2 linked regions of the Mus musculus genome follow. The protein of the gene in region 2 interacts with the protein of the main gene of each other region in a biochemical or structural test. Links are inferred from orthologs where the notes say so. Each region holds a gene or a part of one and is shown on either strand. Other genes may lie near its edges. The genes, in order: Mpp1 and Abcc4.

What was found.
Region 1: the proteins of Abcc4 (region 2) and Mpp1 form a complex in vitro, tested with the Homo sapiens proteins (2 studies listed by BioGRID and IntAct, with this or other methods). The link is inferred for Mus musculus from reciprocal best matches to the Homo sapiens genes ABCC4 and MPP1.

The regions. Positions count from the first base shown.
Region 1 is NC_000086.7:75,128,133-75,132,446, forward strand, and holds the start of Mpp1 (55 kDa erythrocyte membrane protein), read right to left. Parts: upstream 2,885-4,314; 5' UTR 2,695-2,884; coding exon 2,593-2,694; intron 1-2,592. UniProt on the Homo sapiens protein: Essential regulator of neutrophil polarity. Regulates neutrophil polarization by regulating AKT1 phosphorylation through a mechanism that is independent of PIK3CG activity.
Region 2 is NC_000080.6:118,594,444-118,598,258, forward strand, and holds part of Abcc4 (multidrug resistance-associated protein 4), read right to left. Parts: intron 3,192-3,815; coding exon 3,051-3,191; intron 2,734-3,050; coding exon 2,696-2,733; intron 2,332-2,695; coding exon 2,237-2,331; intron 466-2,236; coding exon 319-465; intron 1-318. UniProt on the Homo sapiens protein: ATP-dependent transporter of the ATP-binding cassette (ABC) family that actively extrudes physiological compounds and xenobiotics from cells.

The sequences.
Region 1 (4,314 bases), on a different chromosome or scaffold from region 2:
CTTTGGATTGAGAGATGTATTTAGTGCCTGGCAAATAAAGCTCTAGTTAATATATGATTTTAAGACAATACCTGCCAGAAAAATTCTGATTCTTGAGCCCTCCTGTCTCTCCAGTTCTTATCATTTATAGTTAAATAGTTCTAATCTCTATACTTCCCTGGGGAATTGTTGGTTTTCTCATGACTTTTCTAACTTTTTTGTTGTACTTTTTCCCACTCACAAAGTGAAACAGATGTGCATGTGAAGAGTGGGTACTTGTGATTCAGTCAGGGGCTACACAAGGCTGGCAGGTGATAGTAAGGAACTCCCAGCTCTTCTGTATTTAGAGTCATTCATTTCCTTGGACTAGGCATTCTAAGTTCACCATGTGGAAGCAGTTGGCAATGAGCCTAACAGTAGGCTGAACAAATGTTTGTTCATTCCTGTGCTCAGTAGTTCACTGTCATTTTGTTCTGAAGCCAATTGGTTTAAATGAGAAAGTCAACTATAGTTGCCCCTGCTCTATTCACCCCCACTACCCCTGCCCCCACCCCTGCCAATTTTTTCAATCTATTTTTTTATTTCAACTTCCTTTGAGAAACTGTCTCTGCCCTTTGAACTGTGCTGCAGATGTTTCCTCTGAAGGAGGTGTAGGGGGTGAAGCACTGTGGAGTGGCCAGCATTGCTGAAGCCTGCACTTTGTAGAATCTAGGAGTTAAAGGGCAAACAGGACAGCCTGTGCAGAGACACCAAGGTTCAATGCCATGTACAATAGCAGAAAACAAGTCTTGGTTGAATCAGTAGGGAGCATGGTCAGTGAGTCTGCTCCTGATTATCATTCTACCAGAGAAAAAGACTCCTTCTTAGGTTTGGCTGTATCATTTGAAGAGGATATTTCCATTCAAGGTCTGTGTTTTCAGAGAATTTAAACTAAAAAAACAAAAAGTACTATTTTCAAATTATTTAGTCTTTGCCCCAGTTTTCTCAGTACCTAGTATAGTCTGTTAGTCTTCTTCATATTCTGTCCTTCACTTCTAGGATATCTATGATTTTATTTTTCAAAACCAGAAAGACCTAGATACCTTACAGATAGGAATTTGGTTTTATTGTGGCCACAGTGGCTTAAGTAGATTAGAATTTTTATCACATTAAGTTTTGTTCTTTGCACTTTATTTGCTCACCTTAAATAAGACACTGAACTAGAACATCAGGAATAGATGTTTCCTTCAGCAGTCATGACACTTTGGAGGGAGGTCTGATAATTTCTTGCTGTAAAAAATAAATCCATCTAGTTGTGACACTAAAAATGTCCTGAAGTCTGACATGTTAGCCCATATAGTGCCTATAAACTCAGGAGGCTGAGGCAGGAGAATTGCAAGGAATTCAAGGCCAGTTGGGGCAACTGAGTAAGCTACAAGGTAACCTGAGCTAGTGTGAGACAGCGTCTCAAAGCAAGAAACAAACAGATAAACAAAAAAAGCAAAATGTCCTCCTACTTGCCAGCAAGAGAGATAAAATTTGCTGACATTTAATTGGTGCACAGTTTCTTCCCCTAAGCAGTGAGTTGCTCTGTCAGTGTTACTAAAAGAGGACTTTGGGTGTGGAGCATAGAAAGGCAAGATTAAATAACCATACTTCCAAAACTAGCTTGGGGAGGGGAAATGACACCAGAGATAGGGAAAAGGAAACAGAGCTCCAGAATTGAGGAACCAGAATACAACTGTCATAATATGGATTTTTTTCTCGTATTAATTCTTCACTTTTTCTTTTTTTCCCTTTATCAAAAAAAAAAAAGTGATCAAAACACATAATAGCTACCATTCCTGTAAAGGTTTTTGGATTTATTTCCTCAGTTTCATCTAGTATCATCTTTGAACATTTTGTGTAAGTAATGTATGTTGTTTAATAGCTGTACCTTCCTATCACAAAGCCATCTTCGCTGTATCACAAGCAGCATCATAAATCTCCCAGGAGAAGGGACTGGGGAGCAGAGGGAGCAGGGTCCGTAGGTGAATGGGGAGGGGGAGACATGTTACATAGAATCTAATCACAACCACCTCTGGAGGCCTGACATATTAGATTAATAACTATTTACTGTCTAACACTGGAATATGAATGCTACCTTAGTTTACAGCATAGCACAAGGAGACCCCCTGAAATGAAATGCAGAGGGAAATGTGTGAGCTTTTTAGAGCACGAAGTTGGTTTTCACAACCATGTCTGTGAAACAACACAAACGCTCAATAACAGCCAGGCAGATCTACTATTGGATGTGTTCCTTAAAGTCTTATTTTCCTTCTTCAAGTCTGTTAGTAGACTTCCATCCATGAGCAAGTTTTCTTTGACCTTAAGTATTCATTTAGTCCTGGCCTGCCTCTCGGGATTTTCACCTAGGAGGGCTGCTCCAGGCAACTATCCACCACACCCAGATCTCAGCAGGAATCGGGCCCAGTGCTAAGGCCTCCACCCTGGGGGCAAGACACCCAAGATCTGGCCATCCGGGGACAGAGCGCTTGGGAACAAGGCCATGGATAGGAAAAATCCAGCAGCAGATGGAAAGGCCTGGATCCTAGACCCAACCCGAACCCAGAGGACCCCAGGGGTCCCGCTAACCTCAGGTCGGTTACGCTTCTGTAGTAAGTGCTCCAGGTAGAGGTCCGAAAGTGCGGTGCGCATGCTGTTCCCTCCCTCGCCTTCGCTCGACTTGAGCGTCATCTCTCAGGAGCAGAGACAACCAGACGCAGTAGCCGCAGAGCTTTGAGCCCAGGAATCGCAAATCGGGGAACTGCGGCCTGTTCAGAGACGAGCTAGACTAAGGCGGCGGAGGAGGCAGGGATCAAGAGCTGCGCTGAGAGCCAGGAGGGCCAAGCAGAGCAGTACCCACGCTCCGCCTACTCTCCACCCTGGCCCGCCCCTAAGCCCACCCACGCCTTGGCCTTCCTTGTGCTTAGCGATTGGAGAAGGCGCAGTTTAGCGTTGCTTGAAAGCTCCGCTCTAACCACGCCTCTGCGGGCCCTGTCGAGATGCGCAGCCAGCATCCCTGAAAAGATAAAATTCCGAGACAGGAGCTTCCATTCTCTCTCTTACTCGCACGACCTGTGAACTACCGAAGCGGATCCCAAAATGTCCAACTACTGCAACTGCAGCTCTTTTACCAACCACGAGTTGCAACTAGCTGAGTGAACTTTACATCCAGATTGCTCCTGACATCAGGAATCAACCAGCTACCCTGAAGAATGTAGGGGCTCTTAAATTGGTCCCAAGGCCAATGCACCTTTCCAGGTTTAGACTTGTAAAAGTGTGCTGCTGGTACCATCATTTACATTGGTATATGCTATTCAGCGAGGAAAGATGGGACTGCCCTCAAGAGCAAACTGGTTTTATTTACCTTAGGCCAGATCTCCTGTTGTTAATGCCACACAATTTCTAGGAATCAACAGAAGCAAATGGAACAAATAATCTTCAAGAATTGGAGTAAACGCCCTAAACTTCCAAATGGTCTGGAGACTAATGAAAGACTTTCTAAACAAAATGAATGTTTACTGGGTTTAAAGGCTCCTTGGGAATCCTGTCCTAAAATTCAGAGCTTGTATGATTGATAGCTTACACTCTCCCCCGTCCCTAGAAGAATTACTTTTAGGTGGAGAGAGAGGAGAAGAAAAGAGAAGAGAAGAGAAAAGGGGAGGAGAGAAGGGCAAAGGAGGAGATCTTGGTACAGAGGAAGAGAATACACTGAGCAATGTTACAGAATAATCAACTATGTAACACCTCTGTGCCCATATACAAAGGTACTCAATAATAAAAACAGCTAGGTGAGTAAATAAGGCCTTTCATTAACTGACAGTGGAACTGGAAAGGATGAAATTGGAACCTTGGTTTATGTGATACACAATGAAGATGAACCTCAGTTGGCGGACTGCTTAGCTAGCATGCAAAATCCCTGGGTTCAACTCTCAGTAATGCACACACTATTCATGATAGTGCGTGCCTATAATCTTAGCATTTTGGAGGTGGAGTTAATAGGATCAGAAGTTCAAAGTCATTCTCAGTCACTCAGTAAGTTTGAGGGCAACCTAGAATACATAAGACCTTGTCTCAAAACAAAACTAATAATAAGTAAATAAGAAAAAGAACTTTAAAAAATCAGAATATTTTATTCCACTTAAATATATGGATGTTGGAGAGTATATATTTTTAAGGAAAATGTAATTATATATTTTTATAACATGACACATAATCAAGTCTTTTTATTCTTTTTATCATATATATTATTGTATTTATTCACTTTGTATCCTGCTCACTGTCTCCTCCCAGTCACCTCCTCCTACCATTCTT
Region 2 (3,815 bases):
GTGCGACTACACTCTGTCCGCAAGTTATGTGGGGGGCTCTGGGAGCCGAGTGACAACTGGATTCACAACTCACTGTGCAAACTGAGTGCCCGTGTGCTGTGCCCCCCCCCACACACACACACCGAGATAAGTCCATGCAGCTGATATGTAGATTTGCTATTGGAGGAGAGAAGTATTGGGGAAGCTTACTGTAGAGAATGGGCAGACACGCAGAGGGACTTCCTCCTTTCTCAAAGACCAGAATGCCATCAGACCCTCGTTGCGTGAGTACACGCCTTAACAAGACACATTTACTGGGGAGCTCGGCGGCTGACTTACCGATTGGATTTCTGTCGAAGAACAACACGGGAGCCTTCAGTATGGACTCAAACATCCTGTTGTGCAAAGTCTGGGAAGCGTTCACAAGGATATAGAACACCAGTAGGGATCTCGCTATGCCAAAAAGGACGGTGACCGCAGTTAGACCTGAAATAAAGGAAAGCCAGGATCCTGAGGAAATGACACACTTCCTTCTACAACCCGACAGTTTATAAAAATATCTCTGATCTTCCCCATAAACATCTAGGTTCTACATAAAGACGATGCACATTTATGAGACACACTGACAAAAACTAAGTGGTTTTTTTTCTTACTGAATAGAAAATACCTATGTGCAGATAAAGTATAAACTACAGGCTTTAAAAACAAATTGCATGTCCTACTAAGCACTCAGAGGAAAGATTTCTGCCTGCATATCCCAGCTGGTATTTACAAGTCCCCCAATCTAGCACTGTGGTGGGTTCTGATACCATCATGTGGTGCTCCCCGGGAAGAGGGTCAGACCGGTAAACCCTCCTTGTAGTAAACCCCCTGAGTGGCTTTAAAGAATTTGAAAATATCACATTGGCTTACACACAGGAAAACTTTGAAACGGTTGAATTGTGAGAACATACAAATCATGTTTTAACATAAGATAACTAAATAGTAAACTAGTCACTCAATGCATGTCTCATGGAAACATATCACAGTTTAAATGAGCAGTGTTCAAACTCTGTGTTGCATTAAGGCATTCTTGAACCATTCTGCACGGATAGGAAGTGGAGAGGCATGGTGTGCTGTGTCATGCTACACACAGGAGGCAAGCATTCTATCCTGAGCTACCCCCTAACTCTGCTTCCCTAGTTTCCATTAGCTTGTAGCTCACACTGCTACAAAGACCGGGAAGAGCTGATGTGGTAAACATGTTGCCTTCTAATGAAGCAGCATTAACCCCTGGAGCTACTTAATTCTAAAACTCCATACAGCTGCGTTTTCCTTGGCCGCCCAGGCTACTTGAATAGATAATGGATCTATTTCCCTTTAGGGTTCGCACAGTCTGCCGGTAGGGACGGTAACCAGTCAGTGGATTTAGGTTTCTTAGGGAGACGTCAACAAAGTAAGTTCTAAACCTGGGTGAATGGCTTCTAACAGCGGTAATTCGTGCAAGCCAAGGAAAGCCTGTCTCCCGTGGGAACACTTGAAATTTTAGATGAGGATTTTCTTTTGAAAACTAACTCTATACTTTTTCCAAGCACTCTTGTGAAAACAGAGTGGGGTGTTAATATTAGTCGGGCAAACCAAATGTTAAATGAATCACACAGTCGGAGACGTGATAACATTGTTGGTCTCAAGGTAGGAAAGAGAAGGAGTTTTAATTCCTGCACACTGGGCCTCTCCCTGCTTAGCTTCCCTCTTCGGTAATTAGTGAAGCCCGAGAGATGAGCAGTGTGCTGTAGGGAGCTTTGCATACCTGTGAGGGGATAATGATTTTATTTGGGGGGCCTTGCTGCCAGAGGATTCCATCCAAGTTCAATAAAGGCCTGGGCTTATTCAGTCAGAATTGGAACAATCCAAGCCACAGGGTGGGGATCCGTTTCTAATCCCCCTGCCCATTCATATAATGATATAAGATTTAGCTAAAGCGACCTATTAGAATAGACAATAGTCACATATTTCCAGTGGTTGGTTTTCTGAACGCTCAATCCTAGTTTAACTTTCAAAATCCAGTACAGAGCAAATTAAGAGTCTTCATTCAACCTCTTTCTCCGGGTAGATTTAAAAAAAAAAATTATTCTAATTAATTCACAGAGTAAATGCGACGGAGTCTCCTAATCTGCTAAGACATTACTGAATTACTCCTAGGAGCTCTGGTTACTCACACAGGCCCATCGTAAGCACCTCAGGCCCTCAGATAACAGATCAAATGGCTAAACGTTACCTGCGTAAATTCCTAAGTACCAGCTGAGGTCTAGGGTCTCCGTTATATTTCCATTCGCATTTCTGGTGTTGTTCAGTGCACCTTGCTTGTTCGCCCTATGGGTGGAACATGGGAGGGAAAAAAATTACTAAGGTATGGATTTAGGTAAAAACAAAAGGAACCTAAGCTTAGGAGAAAGGCCTTGTGCCAGAAAGCAATTCTCAGCTCACACAACGCTTTCTGCGGCTGCCCTTCAAACTTTGACCCCTGACGTTCAGTTCTCAAGGTGCAGGTGGTGACCAGATATGGATAAAGAGTGGTGTGGGTCACACCCCACCAGCAAGCCGTCACTTTTCCTCTTCAAGGGACGAAGGTTAGAATAGAAGGCCTAACAGATCCCACCTCTTCCTAAAACCTATGGGAAAATGAAGCTACTACCTATAGATCGTAGAGCCTTTAATTCTGACCAGAAGAACTTACCAGTGGGAAAGCCACCAGTCCTGAAGAACATAGAAAACCTGCGGAGGGAAGCGAGACACAGCGTTGGCAAGACTTGCGTGACTTCCAAACTCGAAACTCAAAATGGCTGAAGACGTGGGACGGAGAGGAGGGTCCCAGAGCGTTCATTAGGATGGTCAGCTGGCTCAGGCTGTGCCAAGGCCAACTTCCCAGACAAGGTGTTACCTCTAAGCTCTTACAAGGTAACCCCACTTTTTTTCTTCTATACAATTCTCGACTGCGGTTAGCAACACTCTGGCTGCTCCCTGCCACACAGCACACCCCACTGTAAACCCATGTGTGAATATCCTGAGAGGGCACAGGTGTCATGATGTACCTGGCCCACCATGTTAAGCAGCACAAGGAAAATGATGAAGAACCAGGATGCGCCCGCCGAGAAGTAATTCTTGTAGGCCTTGAAGCCGATTCTCCCTTCCGAACGGCTCTCCTCGGGTTGCACTGCCTGCGTGTTCTCTGCCTGCGGAAGGTAAGAGGGGCTGTAAGCGAAAGGGAAGCACAAAAGCCTCCGAATGGTGACTGCAGGCAATGCAGCAGGAAAGCAGGCCAGCGTGGGAGAACAGATCGGCGGTAGGGCGCACACTTAACCCACAAAAGGCTGTAAGCTCAAAGGCAACACCGAAGACACCAAGAATGACCGAATGGCTCAAACTGCTAGCCAAGCGGAGCAGCCGAGTGGAAACATCTACAAGAGAGGGAGGATAACACATCCATTTATGCCGGGATCATCCAAGGTGTGGAGACTGGGGATGTGGGCAGCGAAGACAGCTGCAAGTGTAGTCAGACACAGCATGTATGGGTTCTGCTCTCACAAACTGAAAAGGATTCGGAGGGGGAAATAGTTGTCTGTACCGAACATGCATGGACACTTTTCTTGGCCTCTATTCCCCAGTAATTCCATGTATCAAGTGTCGATACAGTATTTATGTTGTATTGCAAATTATAAGTAATCTAGGGAGGCCGTGAAATATACAGAAGTACCCAGGTTATCTGCACACATGATGCATTTATATAAACTTGAACTCCCTCAAACCTTGCTATCCTTGGGGGTCCTAGACCCAAACCCATGCCATGTCAATGCCAA